Mus musculus: one gene and its partner. The protein of the gene in region 2 purifies or fractionates together with the protein of the main gene of each other region. This does not show direct contact. Links are inferred from orthologs where the notes say so. Each region holds a gene or a part of one and is shown on either strand. Other genes may lie near its edges.

What was found. The genes of interacting proteins can lie anywhere in the genome.
Region 1: the proteins of Myo6 (region 2) and Lrch3 purify together in Homo sapiens (co-immunoprecipitation; 3 studies listed by BioGRID and IntAct, with this or other methods). This does not show direct contact. The link is inferred for Mus musculus from reciprocal best matches to the Homo sapiens genes MYO6 and LRCH3.

Annotation. Positions count from the first base shown.
Region 1 is NC_000082.6:32,972,957-32,983,084, reverse strand, and holds part of Lrch3 (DISP complex protein LRCH3), read right to left. Parts: intron 9,206-10,128; coding exon 9,112-9,205; intron 7,357-9,111; coding exon 7,236-7,356; intron 3,690-7,235; coding exon 3,541-3,689; intron 1,258-3,540; coding exon 1,181-1,257; intron 1-1,180. UniProt on the Homo sapiens protein: As part of the DISP complex, may regulate the association of septins with actin and thereby regulate the actin cytoskeleton.
Region 2 is NC_000075.6:80,160,266-80,170,493, forward strand, and holds the start of Myo6 (unconventional myosin-VI), read left to right. Parts: upstream 1-4,768; 5' UTR 4,769-4,964; intron 4,965-10,228. UniProt on the Homo sapiens protein: Myosins are actin-based motor molecules with ATPase activity. Unconventional myosins serve in intracellular movements. Myosin 6 is a reverse-direction motor protein that moves towards the minus-end of actin filaments.

The DNA.
Region 1 (10,128 bases), on a different chromosome or scaffold from region 2:
GACCCTGCCCTACAGAAAAAAAAAAAAAAAGCCCAAGATCAAGCCATAAAATGCCCCCAATCCCAGGGTACCCTAGAAAGCTCTGCTGCCAAGGAACCCTAAATAAAGCCTGCCTCCTGCCCAGATTTTTTGCTGCTTCTCTCCCAAGCAGAGGAAGGCACCCTCTCTCCTATAAATCTGTGTGCGAGTTTTGTTGTAAGGTATGACTTTGGTATTCCTTGGCTCTCAACTATCAGGATACCTTTCCCCTTAGAGCTGTAACACTTACAGTATCTATACAACTACATTTTTCTTTTTACCTTTTTTAAAAATATGTTTTCACTATGTTTTTTTTTAAAGATTTATTTTATTTAAGTACACTGTAGCTATCTTCAGACACCCCAGAAGGGGGAATCAGATCTCATTACAGATGGTTGTGAGCCACCGTGTGGTTGCTGGGAATTGAACTTAGGATCTCTGGAAGAGCAGTCAGTGCTCTTAACTGTTGAGCCAACTCTAGCCCCATAAGTACATTTTCTTTATTCCAGCTACTTCATTCATAGTTCCTGGGACAACATTAGCATGCTATTTGGTATAAAGACCTATGGATGAATGATAGATGCTACATAGTAAATTTCCTATGATTTAAGAACAGACATATCTCTGAGTTCAAGGCCAGCCTGGTCTACACAGTGAGTTTCAAGACAGCCAGGGCTACATAGAGGAACCATGACTTAAAAAACAAATAAACAAAAAAACCCCAGATATATCAAATCTACTAATTTTTTTTTAAAGATTTCATTCACAAAGATCAAAGACAAAAAAATTAACTACTGTGATGCAGTTTATAGCAGAATCATTTTGGAATTCTACAATGAAAACAGCATTGAGCTGGTTTAGAGGAAGGGAGACCTTAAGCATGGTGGAAAGACTGTCTATGTAGAAGGAAGAAGTAAATACAGGGTTTCTGAAAATCTTTCCATTTTCTATGCTTGAATAAACACTGGATTTGGAACCAAGTAATTTCACTCTTTTTAAAGATGGTGTTAGAACAAAGGCAGACTGATCTAGTTTAAAATAGCCTTTAAGGTTCACATAAGCCAAATATCTTCATTATATTTGGATTTGCACAAAATAAAATCAATTCACTTATTACTAAGTTTGAAGAAAGAAAGAATTAAGCTGAATTGCTTTTTCAAACCTGTTTTGATGTGAGTATCTTTTCATGTCTTCTGTTTTTTGAAACTCTCTAACGGCTATTGGCTTTACTGGTGAAACCTAGACCCCCCCAAAAAAAAGAAAGAAAAAGAAAAGAAAAAGTAGTCAGTAATTAACATGCATAATATATTAAAATGCAGCAATTACATATTCAACTAGTTTAACATTTAGGAAATTATACATTAAAAATGACTTTGGTAGGCTTTTCCTCTGTGAGCTTAGTGTTTCAGAGCACCCAGGCTAGCAGGTGTGATGGTGGCTGTAACTCAGGCTCAGGAAGCTGAGGCAAAGAATGACGTGTTTGAGCACAGCCTGAGTGACATAGCAAGACTCTTATCTCAAAACACAAAACAAAACAAGGGCTGGTGAGGTGGGCCAGCGTGTAAACACCGATGTGTAAAAACGCACTTTCTGTGCAAACCCCACAACCTGAGTTTGATCTCCAGAGCCTAAAAAAAAAATGCTGAATGAAAAAAAACAATTCCACAAAATTGTCTTCAGACCTCCATGTTGTACACACTGTGGTATGTGTGCTGATGTAAACACACACACACACACACACACACACACACACACACACAAAACACAACTGTAAGTGGTATTACCTAGGCTTTGATAAATAAGAATATGCACAATCTATAACTGTGTGTTTTGCTTACAAGGTTCTCATCTCACTGTAGTATATAAATTAGTGATTAAGCAGAGTGATATTTTCAGAATAAGAAGGACTTTTGAGACCGGGGAGGTGGTGGGCACTCGGGAGGCAGAGGCAGGCAGATCTCTGTGAGGCCAGCCTAGTCTACAGAGTGAGTTGTAGGACTGCCAGGGCTCTGTAGAGAGACCCTGTCTCAAAAAAACCAACAAAAAGGATCCTCAGAAACCATCTACTTACAGGCCTAACTGCACCTGCTGAGGTACTTCATCAGCGTCAACTTCACAGGTTGTTAACTTAAACTAACCCCTTCGCTATACTTCCACAAACACTCAATTTTTGAAAGATATATGACACAAAAATACCAAGAGTCTTATTCCATAGAACCACATGGCTACCACACACACGAGGTAGTTAGGAGTTTAGAAACACTGCAAGGAGCCTCTACAATGTGAAGGGAAGAAGTGACTCCAACAGGTCTCAGGAGGCAGTAAGCAGCATCTGCAGAGACACCTCACTTAGACAACCTAAAGCATTTTAAAGTCATTAAAGAAAAAGAGGGGGGGGTATAGGGGACTTTGGGGATAGTATTTGAAATGTAAATGAAGAAAGTATCTAATAAAAAAGAAAGAAAAAGAGGACAGAAGAAGAAAAGGGATTTCTCTAAAGAGTATTATGCAGTATTATTAGTCTAAATTTTATTAGAAAGAAACTCTTGGCTCCAGCAGAGAGACTGACAGCTTAAACCACAAGGCAGTTTTGTCAATCATTGGTCTATCATTATCTCTTGGCTACAGGGTTTGATTTTATCTGATTTTAGAAACAAGTATCTTCTGAACTGCAACAAACCCCACTGTGTTCAACAGGAACCAAAGGCTTCTTTTAAGGAAGGCTATTACTCCACACCACCCTCCACTTGAAGCAGCTGATCCCTGATTTCTAAAAGTTAAATACATCGTTTTCCAAAAAGGCCCCTAGTGTTTCTCAAACAACCCCTGCTCAGGGCCTGGGACAAACTCCAGACATCAACACAACACTAAAATGAAACCATTTTACTATGCTGACTAGATAGATTGAAGAATGCTATTCTACTTGAGACCTTTGAGGAATTGGCAGAGACTCTACAGTGGCCTGAATGCTTACTTGTTTTTTAGGCAATTCAATGCTTCATTATAAGAGACACCAAGAATTTTAATAGCAAACAGTTTATATTCTGTTAACTCAGGATAAAAGCACCAGCATAATTAAACTTATAATATTCTATGGGTAAGTCGAATGTTTCCTCAAAAGTCAACTTTGGTTTAATTATCTATCATATTAAGGCTTATAATTAGCAATAATAAAAAAGCAAAAGAGTTAAGCAAAAAAGACCAACCAGAAAGCAAAACTACCTAGCAACGAGAAGTATCCTATCCCGTGTACTTCCTTCAGAGGCCTGAGGTCACGCTCAGATCTCCTTTCACTGTCTCTTCAAAAGAATGAAATCTGCCCGCTTATCTGAGGAATAAAACTGGAATCATTTTTGAGACTACTCTCTGACTTTTCCAAATTAAATCTGAAAACTCCAGGGATAAAACAATAAGGGAAAAATGAAACAATTAGGCCCAAACCAATAAATCACTGATAGGACAAGGATCTCTACCATCACCAACTGTTCTCAGTCTAGAAAGGGTAAAAGGGTACACTGCTACCTCATGTGAGATTCTCCGTTGTTCAATATATGCCATAAACTGTGAGCTGAGACTGTTCGTGTCCAGGCTTTTGGGTTGTTTCACGTCGTTTTCTTCTTCTTCTGTAGTACAGCTGTCAATGTAGTCAATCTGATCCAGATCATGCTCCACTGTACACAGCACACACACACACACACACACACACACACACACACACACACACACACACACAGAGAGAGAGAGAGAGAGAGAGAGAGAGAGAGAGAGAGAGAGAGATTCAAAATTAAACAGCTAATAAAAACATTTGCTTAAATTGCATTCTCCTGGAGCTGGAGAGATGGCTCAGTGGTTGAGAGCACTGACTGCTCTTTCAGAGGACCTGAGTTCAATTCTCAGCAACCACGTGGTGGCTCACAACCATCTGTAATGGGACCTGATGCCCTCTTCTGCTGCTGTGTCTGAAGACAGCTACAGTGTACTCATATACATAAGATAAATATTAAAAGAAATTACATTTTCCCTTTCTCTTGTGTCTGTTCTGTATGCAGAAAGAATGATGTTTCAATGTCTTTATTATTTAGTCTATGGCTCATCACAAAAATCATCTCTTGTAAAACCTTAGTCCAAATATACTAAAGAATACAACAACAAGGGTAAGTAAGGGTAAGCCACTGAAGTATACACCCTTGGCATTTATTTTCTCTGGATGGCTCTGGTGTTTTAAGCAGGATAGCCTGAGTCTGAGACAGAGAAGATGGTTGCTCTTCTCTGTGTCATGTGTGCGAAGAATGATGGCTGTACCATCTTCTCATGAGTTTGTGTTTCAGAAAATGTAAGTTAACTCAAAGGGAAGTGGAAGACAACAAAAAAGACCCAGGAGAAGAAGAAACTGGAGTTGGAGAAAAAGAAACTTATTGACTGTTTCCCTTCCTGTGGCTCAAACTAAAAAAAAAAAAGAGAACAAAGATTTCCCTATTTAGAAAATTACTTGCTAGAGGTCAGTATGTTAGATATTCTGAAGCAATTTGTAGTGAAAGGGAATCATCTGAGGAATTTTCTCTTCTCAAGATTCTTTATAAAAAACTCAATTACTGACTGGAAAATATATAACTTGTTAAACAAAATGTCTATTCCACTAAAAAAGATACTGTAGAGGAAAGGGAGGCAACTAAAGATATGGCCATGTAATTGTTGCATCTGGCAAGCTTCTGGCTAGCCGTCCTTCTTAAGCGGAAGCTAAGGACTTCAACAGCTAGGTAAAATGGAGCTCTAGGAAAGACCTCGCTGTGAAGACGTTTCCCAAGCATGCACTGACCCTCAACCACTGCTTTATGCTGTTCCCCTGTGCCAGGACACTGAATTGAACTGAACTGCAGCTATTAACTTGAAATTTGTGCTACAAGTCTATTAAGATCAAACATTTTTCCATCTAAAATATAGTTTATATATTAAGACTATTTCTTAAGAAAGTACCATCAGGTTTTCATACTATCCAGATCAGCACAGTCAAAATTTGATGAAGATTTTGTAGTTATAGTTCAGTTCAGAAAAGCCACATTTCATCTTTTAAACTTTGTATGTGGGGTTTATCTGTGCTGTGTGCATGTATGCAAGTGTGCGTGTGATGACAGGTGCATGTGTGTCCATGTGGAGGGGAGAGGCTGATGTCAGGTGTTTTCACTGTTAGCCACTTTAGTTTTAGTTTAGCTAATGATCTTTTTTTTTTCCCTTTTACATTTTTTTACAGGGGGGCGCATATGCATGCCATACAGGTGGAGGTCATATTTATTATTTAGGGGGCACATATGTCATGACATACACGTGGAGATGAGAGCATGTATGCTATGCAGCAGAACAGATGTCACATTTCTTATGGAGGCAGGGGCATGTATGCCATGGCACATGTGTAGATGTCAGGGGGAATCTGCAGCAACTGCTTTTTTCCTTCCGTCATGTGAGTTTCAGGGATGAAATTCAAGTCAGAAAAACTGTTACAGCATCTTCACCCAATGAGCCACCTCACTTGTCCATAACTTTATTTTTTGAAACAGAAGTTTTTCATGGACTCCGGAGCTCAAGACTTTGGTTAAAGTGGGTGCCAGCAAGCATCAGGGACCTGCCAGTCTCTGCCCACCAAGCGCTAGGACTGCAGATGTGTGCTGCCAGGCCTGCCGTTTATGAGGATGCTTGGGATAAAACGCTGCCCCCATTTTATCTCAGCAAGCATTTGATCTACTGACGCAATCCCCCCAGCTTCCAGAGGCTGCATCTCAGCTACTCAGTACCCACATGGGGTAGTGGACACAGACCTGAGTCTTCAATGAAATGTGCTACAGATAACTCACGTAAGAACAAAACCTAAAATACAACTACTAAAATATGAATGGAATGTAAGTGAAGGAATAAAGAAGAACGTAAGCCAGAGAGGACAAAATCACAACTGTAACTGACATCGTTAGAAATGGAAGCGCTTCCAAAAACATATGCATTTCTACAAAATCTATGTAATTTCTCCCTCAGCACTGGCCCTCAAAATGCCAACATGTGGCTTTAAAACTCAAATTAAAAGAATATAGAGTACAATTCTAAAACCTGTTTCAGCAGTACATTGAAGCAGACAGAACTCTATTAATTTAAAACTACTAAGTTCTAAGTGTTAGAATAAGATTCAGAAGCCCCAGAGAACACTACAGGAAACACTACGCTATGCAGGAAGACGGGCATGCTGGCAGGCACCTGTGGCCCCAGCTGCTCAGGAGGCTGATGTAAGGTTACTAGAATCCAGGAGTTTGAGGTCAGCCTGGATATTGGGGTGAAAACTCAGTTTTAAACAGTGTTAGCTAACTGACTGAGCAGGCAAAAACACTTGCTGCCATGCCTGATGACCTGAATTTGATCCCTGTGACCTGCAAGGTGGAAAGAGAGAGCAAGTTGTCCCTACCCTCACCACACCTGTGGTGGCACACCCCTTGATAATAAATAGATAACTATTTCAAAAAGCTAAAAATAAATACAAGCAAACACAATTGATTGCTAAAAGAGCTCAAGAAATCTCTTTAAAATGGAAAATCTTAAAAAGAGACAATGTTACTTCAGAAGACTGTAGTAAGATCAAGATGAACAAAGATCTATTCTTCCTAAAGTTTCCCCTCAAATAAACATGAAAGAGAAATTATAAATTGAAAATACAGAGAAAGTGAATTTTATCTGAATGGTAAACTTTTTTTTGGTCATATATAAACAGAAGTCTTCAGAAGGGTGAAGGATCTACAGAGAAGCAAACTAAAGAGTGGGTGTGACAAAGACCACTTCAAAAACGGTAAGGAGACCAGCAACTTCCTACTTCTGTCGCCATGCCTTTCCAGTCTACTGCCAGTCTACTGATGGTGGTCTACTGCCGAGCTCTCCTCATCAGGAGGGACAGGATCCCTCTAGAACCCTAAGCCACAATAAACTCCCTTAAATCAAAACAAAAAAGTTCAGGTGGGAGCTGGGCTGTGTTGTAAAGTCCTTGTCTCTGGCCCACACGGCCCTGGGTTCAATTCTCAGCACCACAAAACCAGGTGTGGTGGGATACAACTGTACCCCCAGGGCTGGGAGAAGACTGGCCATCCTTGGCTACATAAGGGGTTTGAGGGCAGCCAGGGTTATAGGGAGAGCCTGTTATATAACAAGGCACACATGAAGGCTTTAAATGTCATCAGAATCGTGTGTACCTCCACCATTTGTGACCGCCACACTGCTGCGATTCTCCTGGTACTGGCTTTCTCTCCGCAGTCTTTGCTCTTTGGTAATCTCTGCCACTCGAAGAGGCAGATCCGAAAATTCATCTGTAGGCTTAAAAAGCAGAAACATTAAAAACCATCATTTCCAATTTTAGATAACATACAGTACAGGAATATAAACTGTAATCTACATAGGAGAAGAAAAAGCAAAAGTTTTAGAAATTAATAGAGAATATTGTATAATTCTATGAACACAATTAATGCAACTGAAATATGTACTTTAAATAGGCAAACCTTACCACAATTAACAAAAATAGAAGGATATTCAGAACTGTAAGCAAATATATACATAGGTTTAAAATATCTATGTATATATACACACATTGCAATATTCAAAAAGATAGTCACCAATACATACTATACTGGCTAGTTTTATGTCAACTTTTCACAGCTGGAGTTATCATAGAGAAAGGAGCTTCAGTTGAAGAAATGCCTCCATGAGATCCAACTGTAAGGCATTTTCTCAGTTAGTGATCAAGGAGGAAAGGCCCCTTGTGGGTGGGACCATCTCTGGGCTGGCAGTCTTGGGTTCCATAAGAGAGCAGGCTGAGCAAGCCAGGGGAGGCAAGCCAGTAAAGAACATCCCTCCATGGCCTCTGCATCAGCTCCTGCTTCCTGACCTGCTTGAGTTCCAGTCCTGACTTCCTTGGTGATCAACAGCAATGTGGAAGTGGAAGCTGAATAAACCCTTTCCTCCCCAACTTGCTTCTTGGTCATGATGTTTGTGCAGGCATAGAAACTCTGACTAAGACACATACATACATACATGCATACATACATATATAGCTAACTACAAATTTCAAGTTTTGATCTAATTTTGTTTTGACTTACTATTTATTTAATTTATTTACTTATTTAGGTTTGACAGGGTCTCACTATGTAGCTCTGGTTGGCCTGGACTTATATAGTCCTGGTTAGCCTTGAACTCACAGAGATCCACCTGCCACTGCCTCCTGACACTGAGATTGAAGGCATTCAAGGCACTGTGCTACTCACCAGGCTTCTGTCTGGAATCTCAATGACACAGTGTTATAAAATGGCTGTTATCAGCACCTCTAGCAAACGTGTAGTCCTTTAATTGGTAGTTAAAATATATCCTAGTAATTTTACAAAGCAATGGATTTCATTGGAAACTCTAATAGAATTAATTAATCAAAACAAGAACCCATGCAATTTGTGGCATGTGAATGAACTCACTGAGCTGTGCCACCTTCTGTGGGGCTCCAGCCAGTGCCTGCTGGAGAGGACTCCACTTTTGAGCTGTCACTTAAAGCTCAGGTTCCCCTTCCTCACCCATCAGTGTCCAGTCCTGCGCACTTTCCCAGCCTCCAGCACACCCATTCTATCACCATCTCCGCCGCAGACCACCCTGGCCCTCACATGGATGTCAGGGCTTCTCATGGGGTTGAGACAGTTGCTATGCAGTGCAAGCTGTTCTGGAACTTACTGCATAGGCCAGGCTATCTTCAAACCATGGTCCTCCTGCCTCAGCCTCCTGAGAGCTAGCTAGGGTTATAGAAATGTGTTACCACAGCCACTAGGCTTCAGCTTTAACCACCTCACTTCCTACTCAGCTTTCCAGAATATCTGTGCATAAGACTGGGTAACAAATCTGAAAGAGGATACATGGCAAAAGGTGCTTTTAAAAGAAACAGTGTAGAATTCCCAGGTGGTAGGACTATGTAGGGTTTTTGCTCTTTGACATTTCTCTATTTTACCTAATAAATTGAATTCCAATTTAGATATTCCCCTTAATTTAATTTATTTTTCAAAATCAGGATTTTTAACACATGAACAGAACACTTACCTCATTCCCTGACCATCTCTTATCACCACTATCCACACTATTGAAGCCTGAATCCAGGGCTCCGTAAGGACGGCCTGAGTACAGTTCTTCATGGCTGTCCAAAATAAGTGTTACATGTTACTATGAGGTTTTATATTTTTCAAAGTAGCATTTGAAATTAACCAGTTATAATTTTATTAACCAACACGCTCATGACACTTGGCCACATAAATATTTGAGCTAAGTGAGCATTCTCTGAACTTTTAAAGAAGAAAATCCCAAATAGGAACAAAGTAAACAGAATAGTACGAGGCCCCAAACTCAGTATCCAGTTTGAAAAGTACCACTGCTCAACTTTGTTTTCACTGCACTCAGTTTTAATGCCATCTTACCAAGCAGTGGATTTCTCCTAACAGCCTCTCATACTTGGTGCCAGCACACTTTGTCGCCATGGGTTCATCTCCCTCCCTCCCTCCCTTCTAGCTGTTTTCTTTCTCCCTTTCTGCTTTTCAGCACAGGTCTTCCACTGCCCTCTCTTTCCATTTCCTTAAGATCTCTTCCTCCACTCTCATGATCCTCTTTCACACACAATGATGCTAGCTTTCACACACATGCAAATGCAGGTCGGTCCTCACACAAACATCATCCTTATCTGGCTTTGGCAGTAGTGAAATCCTGACTTCCCCGGGTAAGTTTGGCAGTGTTCTTTCTCTGCCAATGGACAGCACTGGTGCTAGCTACTCTTTAAATTTTGTGCTGTTTTGAGATAGGGTTCACTATCTCACCTTGGATGTCCTGGAACTCATAATGTAGACAAAGATGAGCCAGAACTCACAAAGATCCATGTGCTGCTGCCCCTGAGTACTGGATTAAATTTGTGTGCCAACACACCTGGCTTGTTTTTATCTTTAATAATATTCTTCCAAATAAAATTTACATATATTTAAATATTAGGAGTATAATCTTAACAAAATACTGTATCTTTGTAATTCTATCACAACAGAAGACATTTCTATTTGCCAGAACTGTTCTCATACA
Region 2 (10,228 bases):
AAGGAGCCCTGGATGGTGTCCTACAGCTTCTGGGCACAGGTCCTGGTGATGCCAGCCAGCAGGACTGTCAGCATTAGTTGAGTTAGTTTGAACAGAAAGATGAGTTTCTGCATCACACCCATAGGGATTCTGTCTACGTTACTCTAGGAGTTGGTATCACAGACCCTTTAAAGCAGACCCTTCATGAACCTGTAATATGAATTTCTGAAAACACAAATCAAAACTCATAAAAAATTGCATATGGTTAGGAGGGGGATGCTCATGGCATTCCCATGGATGATATCTATAGATCTTTAGGTGGAGAATTTCTGAGGTATGAGCCAAGTATGCTTAGTGGTAAAGGCACTTGTCATTAAGCCTGGGGAGATGAGTCTGAGAGAGAATCAACTCCCACAAGTTGTTCTCTGATCTTTCACATGTGCGAGTGCACACACACACACACACACACACACACACACACACATGCACACAAATAAATAAACAAAAGTAATAAAAAAAGAAAGGAAAACAAATGAAAGAATTTCTGGGATAGCCTCTGCCATCCATGCTGGGATATATCATGGTTGGTAGAGGGCCTGCCAAGCAGGCACCAGGCTCTGGGGTTTGTCCCCAGGAGAACAGGCACCAGGCTCTGGGGCTCGTCCCCAGGACTGTGTAAACCACAGTGTCTGTGATCTTAACAGTCTAGGAGATAGGGGTAGAAGGAGAAATCTCAGAAGTCTCCATAGTAATCACATAACACAAGTATGAAGTTGCCAAAGACTTAATTAAATTTTAAAAAGAAAGTTAAAGAACAGCCTCAGCTATAAGCACGTCCCAGGCCTGCCTGTGATATATGGGACCCTGTTTTAGAAAAGAGGAGGGACTGTGGAGGGTCAAATCGAGCTGTAGACTTAGGGCATGTAAGTATGGACTGGGGTTGGGTCACAGAGACAGAGTTACTTCCATTATGCTTGATGATAACATATGCAGTTTCCAGAATCATCATCTGTCCATCTTTCCTCTTTATTCATAATAACACCAATGCTAGGCACTATTTATTTATTTAGCATTAAGTACGTTACCACTGAGCTATATCTTGGGCCCTGTAGGCACTTCTTAACGAAAAAGCTACTGTGCTCCACACTTGAAATCCAAAGGATAGTCTATTGTGCCCTCAAAGAGTGTACAGGCTAACTAGAGAATACACAAAAGAACACATAGGTGGCCAGAGTACAATATGCATTATAAGAGATATTTGTACAGTAGATGTTAAGTGAAGGATGGGGACAGAACTGAATTATGCCTAGGATTTACCATCAGGGCGGGTAGGGAAAATTCTTAGAGAGGACAAGCAGGCTTTGTTTTGAAGGAATAATTGGGTTTAGCCTGGCTGTGCTCCAGTGTAGTAAATAGCATAGAGTGTGTGTTTGGGGACACAAAAGCCCTTCAGAATGACTTGAATGTAAAGTACGAGACATGGAGGAAGGCTGTGGGTAGAAATGAGATTGGGCAGCTAAGCATGGAGAAGACAGCGATTCCCAGGACAGATACCTGGTGGCTCAGCTTGTCGGCTTGAACACAGTGGTGAACTGTGGGATCACATGACCATCGAAGAGCCCAAAAAAAAGATAGAAAGAAGGAATAATCCACTAGACTAATTGAACAAGAACAACCAGTTCGTGAAAGACGGTTAGATTCAGGATCTTACCAGGTGTTTTAGGACTGATGTAACTCAGTTTTGCTGGGCTTGCCTAGCATTCGTCAACCCACAGAGCCAGTCTCTAAGCGTGTAAGGGTCCAGGGGGAGGTATCTTAAGGGGTAGCCCACAAACCCAGTCTCCATGTGGGTAAGGGTCCAGGGGAAGGTATCTTAAGGGGTAACTCACAGAGCCAGTCTCCAAGTAGGTAAGGGTCCAGGAGAAGAGGAATCTTAAGGGGTTTGGACTTTCTACTGAGGATAGTGGAGAACCACTCACTTGGATTTCTAACTATGGACTAGTGGTTATGATTATCTAAGATCTGTAGTGATGGTGGCCCAGAAAATGGTAACAGTCGGAGGTAGAAAGAAGAAATGGGCAGAGAGATATGAGGCTAGAAGTAAAGAGATGAAACAGATTAAAGCAGGGACAAAGGGTAAGACTCATGGATGTCATTAGTTACAAAAAGCAACTGTAAATAAAACACCTTCTACTGACTTACAAACAGATTATCTTTATGTCAAATTCAAACTTAAGTAAGGTATGTATTAAAAATATGTAGCGATCTTCATTTTTCCTTTAAAGAAATTTATCATTATTAATTATTATCATTACTATTATTATTCTACCTACTTCATGTGTAGGGCGTTGTGCTTGTACATATGTCTGTGTACCACAGGAATGCAGTGCTTGATGAAGCCAGAATAAGCCTATGAGATTTCCCCCTGGAGCTGGATTTAAAAGCTCTTATGAGCTACTATGTACTCATAACTGCTGAGCCATCTCTTCAGCACCATGATCTTCATTTTAAAAAGCCAATTATTTCTGCGTACCTGCAATATATTTGGGTAGGAGCCCTATGTTAGGCATTGTCTTAGTCTGCTTTGTATTACTATGATATAACACCACCCAAAGCCAGTTTAGGGTTTATTTCAACTCTCAATCCATCACAGGAACTCAAAACAGGAACCTGAAAGCAGGAACTGTTGCAGAGGTAAAGGAGAATTCCTACTTACTGGCCTATTCATCCTGGCTTGTTCAGTTTGCTTTCTTATATTCCCTGGGACCACCTGCCCAGGAATGACACTTTTCACAGTGTACTGGGTCCTTCCATTAATTAATTCCATCAATTATCAATCAACCAAGAAAATGTCCCATAAGCTTGCCTACAGGGTAATTTGATGGGGGATTTTTAAAAACTAAAGTTCCCTTTCAGACGACTCTAACTTGCATGAAGTTTTGCCAAACAAAACAAAACAAACCCACATAAAACAAAGCAAAACAGATAAAAAACCTAACCAACACAAGCATCTTCTTCAGTCTTTCATCCTCTTATTTTTTGTAGTGGGGTCTCAGTGAGTCCAGAGCTCTCCTTTTCTGCTAGAATGGCTGGCCAGGGTGAGCCAATGGTGAGCCAAGGGTTCTGCTTGCCCTCTATCCCCCTCTCTCACCTTAGTACTGGAATTTGAGAAATAAGTCTGCCCCTGGTTTTAGTTTATTTTACAATCTTTGATATAGTTGAGATTTTTCTTTTGGCAATCTTGGAGCTACATTTCTGTGGTTGCTGTAAATTACTTCCTTTCTTGGTTTTCCTTCCTCTTTTTTAGTTTCCCTAATTTTACTTACTGTCTTACGAATTTGAAATGTGTTCAGTGGAAGGTAGCTTTTTCATCAAGTCATTTGGGTCGTCTCTGAATGCCTGACCCTTCCCTTACCATTTTTTTGTGGTGATATGGATTGAACCCAGGGCCTCACATGCTAGGCAAGTATTCTACCGTGGACTTAGTTATAGCCCATCTCTCTCTGAAACAGGATATTACTAACTGACCATGCTGGTCTTGAACATGCAGCTTCCCGAGTAGCTAGAATTACAAGCACGAGGCACCAGGTCCAGTTTGAATTCCTGAAACCTGTCTTCTCTGGGAATCTTCTAGACAGAGCCCAGTGGTCAGAGTACAATATGAGGAGTTGTTTCTCTCCTTGAAACATGCTGGGCTTCAGGATGGGCTGCAAGAACCCTCACTGGCTGAACTATCTTGCCAGCCCCTTATTTTGTTTTCATATTAACCTCTTTTTTCTAGTAAAGGAGATGTTTGCTCTCAAATTTGCATAGGAATGTAATATTTAATTTAAAAAGATGACCCACATATGACCTTATAAGGACAGTAAAATTAAACAACCGGAAAGATAAAGCGGGCCAGTTGGCTCAGTTCTATAAAACCAGCCCACAAGGATTGTCACTATTCTTAGGCTTGCGCGGGCTACATGATGAGTTCCAGGACTGCCTGGTTACAGACCGAGACTCTCTCAAGAGTCCAGATAAACAACAACAAAGGGGGCGAGGTGGAAATACAGGGGCTGTAAGAAGTAAATATGATATCTGCATGGGAGGCTAGCCAGAGAAGAAAAAATTTTCTTCCGTGGTTCAATCCTCCAAGGGCTGAACAGGAAGTTGACGCAGGCAGGTGAGGAGCACGAGCCTAGATGGGCTGCGGTGCCACCCTTAATCCCCACAAGCGAGTTCCTCCGCAATTCGCCTGTCCCACTCTCAACTTTTCTTCAACTGACTCTTTGCTGTGGTCCCTCGCTGTGGCAGTGGAAACAACTACCACTGCGAGGTAGGGAATGTCATGAGGGGCTACCTGCAGCCCTTGGCTTGCAGGGATGCAGGGATGCGGTCGGAACCTGAGGCCCCGCCCTTCTCTTGCCCCACGCCATTAGGCCACGCCCCTACCCAGCACTCCTTCAACCACCCCCTTCCCCGGCGCCTCATGAGGTCCCGCCCCTCTCAACCCTAGCTCTTGAGGCCTCCCCTTCACAGCCGCCCCGGCGTTCCTTGACTTGAGGCCACGTCCCTCTGCTCCTTCATTCCCAAGACCCTACGCTTTGCGAGTCCTCCCTGTCCTGCTGCCTAGGACCCCGCCCCTCTCAGCCCTTCTGCCCCAAGACCCCGCCCCTTAGGCTGTTCCCGCCCACTGGCCAATGAAGACCCGCCCTTTCTTTAGCCGCCCCGCCCCGGTCCCACAAAATCCCGCCTCCGGCCCCGCCTCCCGCCCCCTTGGGCGCTCCGTAGCAGTGACGTGCGCAGGCTGGGCACTCTGCAGGGCTCTCTGGCCGGCGGGTGGAGACCGATCCGGGATCTGTCCCAGCAGGAAGCGTATCCCGGCCGCCGTCGTGCTGTCGTCTCCGGTGCTCGCTCTCGGCCGCGGTGTCGCGCTTGCCCTTCGCGCCCGCAGCCCGGCAGCCTCTCCACGGCCGCGACCCCTCGCGCACCTGCCTCGCCGGGTGAGTGTGGGCGCCTGCCCGCCTGCCTGTCCTCACCGCCTTGGCCTCTGCTCTGCCCGGCGCGGACTGGAGCTCTGGCTTCCCCTTCCCGGGCCAGCGGGGCTCCTGTCACCTGACGAGTCCCACCCGACACTGCAAGATAGTTTTATTTTCTCCTTTCGAAACACAGTGAAAAAGCTACACAGTCTAGTTTGTTGTCAGAGTAAAGATCAATTGATACCATTAATAATTTAGCTGTGTCGAAGAAGACCATGGTAGCATACTATAAAGCTGGAATTTTAGTTCCTAAGCGTTCTAGTATTTTGAGTGTGAGTTTTACGGATGTGTTGCTGAAAATAACTTTGTTATTTAATTCCAAATCGTCTTAAACTAATTAAAACGTGCTAGCTGTGGATTGTATTTTAAAATAGGAAATAATTTGATAAGGCCATTCTTAGATAATCTATGTCAGGAACTTTTACACAAAGATACATTTTATCCGGCATAAAGTATGTAGGGCAGAGCTGTTTAAATCCCAATGTGGAGATACTGCTGGAGCGCTACACAAACGCTGCTCCGATTTCATATGTGTTGAATAAAACTTTAGTTTGCTCTCGTGTTACAGTTGCAGGATTTTCGAATATAGTTAGTCAGCTTGAGACTTTTAACAGCCTTTGAGGCTCGGCTGTAACACCATAAAATCTGAGTCTTGAGCTTGGTGGTGGTCATGGTCCAAAGGTTGGCTGCGGAACAGCAGCATTTCTGTACAAATTAACTCGACTTCAAGACATCTTGGCTTGTGGTTTTCCAACTGGGAAATGTTTAGTGAAAAAAAAATTACCTTAGTGCTCTCTAGCATTAATTTTAGAAATGGCCACAAATGCTACAAGGGGGACAGAGGAAGCCCAGAAACAATGTAGTTCTTCAGAACAGCTCATTGACTTTTAAATGTCTGCCCATTTTCTGTGTTTGCAGTTGCACAGGAGTAAACAGGCACAGTGATAAATAGAAGTCATTTTAGTCTGATGCTCGTCGGCCTGTAGTGTTTTTATTTCGTGTGTGTGATCTGTTACCCATTTTTTTCCCTCTTCCTTTCAAGTTTTGTATTTGTTTTCAAAAGTTACTTGTAAAAGGCAGGGACAGAATACAACCCTTAAGAAAAGAGTATTGCGATTATACAGTTAAAAAGCCGTGGAGTATAGATTTTACATATGGTCTTTAGTACCTAGACACATGAGCAAGAAAAAGTGAACAACTATGATTTTTCATAGAAGCTACAACATATTAAAAACAAAGATGCAAATTATAGTCCATGGGACTTGTCCGAAAGGGATTTTCCCTTGTTTACACGATCAAATTTTAAAATAACAGTGGCCAGGAAATCGGAGAGAAGCCGAAGGCTCCTCGCTCATCCTGTTGTGACTTTGCCTGGCGTCTGTGGTGGATCACTTATTGTTTAGACAACTGGACTGTATCTGGGTTTTGAAAGGCCTTTAGATGGTTTTAAAGATTTCCACCATGCAAGGTCTGAATAAATCCATAAGAACTCCACATAAAAAACCATTCTCTAGTTTTTAACTTTCTCTTGGTATTCAAAACTCCACTTAGGGTACAGGATTGGGAGTGTAACTCAGTGGGTAAAGACCTTGCCTTGTGTGTGTGTGTGCGCGCGCGTGTGTGTGTGTGTGTGTGTGTGTGTGTGTGTGTGTGTGTGTGAGGCCCTGGGTACTGGAGTTTCATTTATATTATTATATATATTATATTAGAACATCTTATTTAAACATTGCAATTTGAAAAACACATTGCAATTTGAATAAATCTCACACAGTATAATGGTGATTCCCAGAAAGAGATACTTTGTTAACAGTTTATGAGCTGGCGATTTAGTAGTGATGTGACACACAAAAAAAACCCCTAAAGGTTTGATTTACAAAATAATATTCCAGGTTGACAGCCTTTCCTTTTATAGAGGAGAAAACAGAGGCTCAGAGAATGAATACTTGCTTGTAGCTTTGGAGGGGCAAAGTCCAGACTCTGAGTACACATGGAAGTCTCTGACAACAAAGCCTCTCTCCTCCTTTGCCCAGAAGTTGTCTTGATTTCGGTTTACTTGGTGAACTATTGAGAGCCCTTTGTAGGCCTGATCTGGAGATTAGGAGTCGGTACCCTAGGTAAACTGTGATAGGCCATGCATGGAGTCTAGAACGAACTGAGAATTCTGTCTTCTTTCTCAAGGCCTTGAGCAGTGACCCAATGCTTTGGCATCACGTCTGGAGTGGTTCCAGCATGTATTAAGTATTATGTGCTTTTCATTTTGATGGGTTTATAGGAATTAACACTGCAATCTAATCCTGGATTGATTTCATTGTAGCTGAGCAGTATATGATGTTTCTGGTCAGGATGGAACTTTGGTTTTTGTCCTTCAAATGAGCTAGATTGTTGCTCTTTAATACAGTAGCTGTCTTTTAAATGTTATTCAATTAGCTTTAACCTTAGGAGGGAAACATGCTTCAAGATTAAGATATCTAGGCCTGGGAGATGCTTAGCAGGTAAAAACACTTGTCTGGAACCCTGATGACCTTAGTTGGATACCTGGGTCTCAAGGAAACAACTTCTGTGAATTTGTCCTCTGACTACCCCACATAGGCCTTGGCATATAGCTATGAACAAATAGTTGTGCTTTAAGAAATAAAAAATAGTGGTGGTGGCGCACGCCTTTAATCCCAGCCCTTGGGAGGCAGAGGCAGGCTGATTTCTGAGTTCGAGGTCAGCCTGGTCTACAGAGTGAGTTCCAGGGCTATACAGAGAAACCCTGTCTCGAAAAAAAAAAAAAAAAAAAAGATTAAGACATCCGCCTACCTCTACCTCTTGAGTGCCAGAGCTTGCAGCTCTGCCCTTGCGTATGCAGTACAGGGAATGAAACCTGGTTCTGTGCTAGGTAGGCAGTTCATCAGGGGAACTATATCTTTAGCCTAGGACAGTTTGTTTGTTTGTTTGTTTATTGTGTGTATATAACTTGTGTGTGACCACACATGGCATATCTGTGAAAGTCAGAGGACAGTTTTGTGGAGTCAATTTTTGCCAAACTCAGGTCATCCTGTTGGCCTGGCAAGTGATTTTTTGTTTTGTTTTCAATCTGCTGAGCCATCTTGCTACCCCCCCCCCTCCCTGCTTTTTTGGGATAGGGTCTCACTATGTAGTGCAACCCTGACTGGTCCAGAACTCACAACCTGGCTGTCCTCTAACCCACAGGGTTACATTTACTTCTGTCTCTTGAGTGCTGGAATTAAAGGCATATACTACCACACCCAGCTTATACAGTGTGTTTTAATCAAAATGGTTCATGGCTTCTCAAAGAAAATTTACTTTATTAATTATTTACTTGTGTGTGTGTGTGTGCACATATGCATGTGTGCACATAAATATGAATGCCTGAAGAGGCCAGAAAAGGGTACCACACCCCATTTATCTTGAGCTATGGTTGGTTGTGAGCTGCTTGACTTGGGTGCTGGGAACCAAACTTGGGTCTTCTAGAAGAACAAGTGCTCTTAACCTGTGAGCTATCTCTCTAGCTCTCTCCTCTCTAGTGCTCTCTCTCTCTCTCTCTCTCTGTATATATATATATATATATGTGTGTGTGTGTGTGTGTGTGTGTGTGTGTGTGTGTATAAACTCAAGCTTCATGAGTATCCCTGAGCTGTAATTCACCTAATGGAATGAAATGGCAGAGCCCTTTTGGATAGATGTGTAGAAAAACACAGGGAAGGCTGAGCAGGGCCCACCTGGATAGGGATTTTTCTTATTGGAACTGCTAAGAGTTTGTATCCAAGGCTATTCATATTCTAATGTAAGTGAATAAAAAACCATCCAATGACTTAAATATGAATCATTAGCATTTGACTGTAACATGCTTTGTTTTTTCTTTCGGGAAGAGGTGAGAGTACAGATAATTGACAACTGATCCTAGTTAAATGACTTAAAAGTTCTGTTTTTTGAGGCTTTAGGTAATGTTTAGAAGTACCGAGATTTTTTGTGTTTACAGTAATATGCTTTTATTTGTTAGTTTTTTTTTAGTGGGCTGATGACCTTAAAGCATAAATATTAGTAAGCAATAACATAAAATTTTGAGAAATCACCACAAATCCACCAAAATTTTCTTTGTGAGTACTGAAGCCTAGGAAATAAAACCCAAAGCACAGCTGGGCGGTGGTGGCGCACACCTTTAATCCCAGCACTCGGGAGGCAGAGGCAGGCGGGTTTCTGAGTTCAAGGCCAGCCTGGTCTACAGAGTGAGTTCCAGGACAGCCAGGGCTACACAGAGAAACCCTGTCTCGAAAACAAACAACAACAACAAACCCCAAAGAATCCAACAACAAACAAAACAAAACAGAAACCCAAAGCGCAACTCTGGCATGTTTAGAAGTCTCGCTGGTGTTAAAAAGAGAGGAGATAATTGGCTGTGCAGAAGGCATGCGTCTGGTGAAACCAAAACACCGAAGCACATTCCTTCAGTGTATATTCATGCAGGGCGAACACGAGCACTCATGCTGACTAATGTGACCAGGGAAGCTCCCGGCAAAAACACAGGCATCTTTTGTGTGTGTGTGTTACATCACTTGTTATTGTGTTTGAAAGTACCCAGTGGTTGGAGAGATGGTTCATCAGTTAAGGGCACTTGTTCTTCCGGAAGACCAGAATTCCACTACCAGCATCCTTGTTGGGTGGCTTACGACCACCTGCAAATTCATCTCCAGGGGATTTAGTGTCTTCTAACCATTGCAGATATCCATACATGCCTAGCATGTACTCACACAGACACATACAAATAAATAAAAATATACATTTTTATTTTTAAATCAGCTGATTAACCCTTACCAGGTGAGCTCTTTGGTGTGGCAGAGTTTTTGTTATAATGGGGCTCTTTGGATCTGGGGATTAGCCGAGATTGTCAGGTATATAGGAAGATGGTTTGAAATGGAACATGTAAAATCTACACTGAGGTTCAGAGGCATGGGATTCAGTGGTATAGTCTTGTAGTTCAAGTACACGGGAGCCTGATGAAGCACAAAGATTGAACTCAGGCCATTGCAGCTAATTTGGGAAATAAGACAAGATCCCATCTTTAAAAAACAAAAACAAAAACAAAAAACAAATTAAAACCTCAAAAACAAAACAAACAAACAAACAAACAAAAATACCCTCCACCCCCAATGAGGTTTGAAATGTAGCTTAGTTGGCAGAGCCCTTGCCTGGGTTGTATGGAGTCCTGGGTTTGACCAGCACTG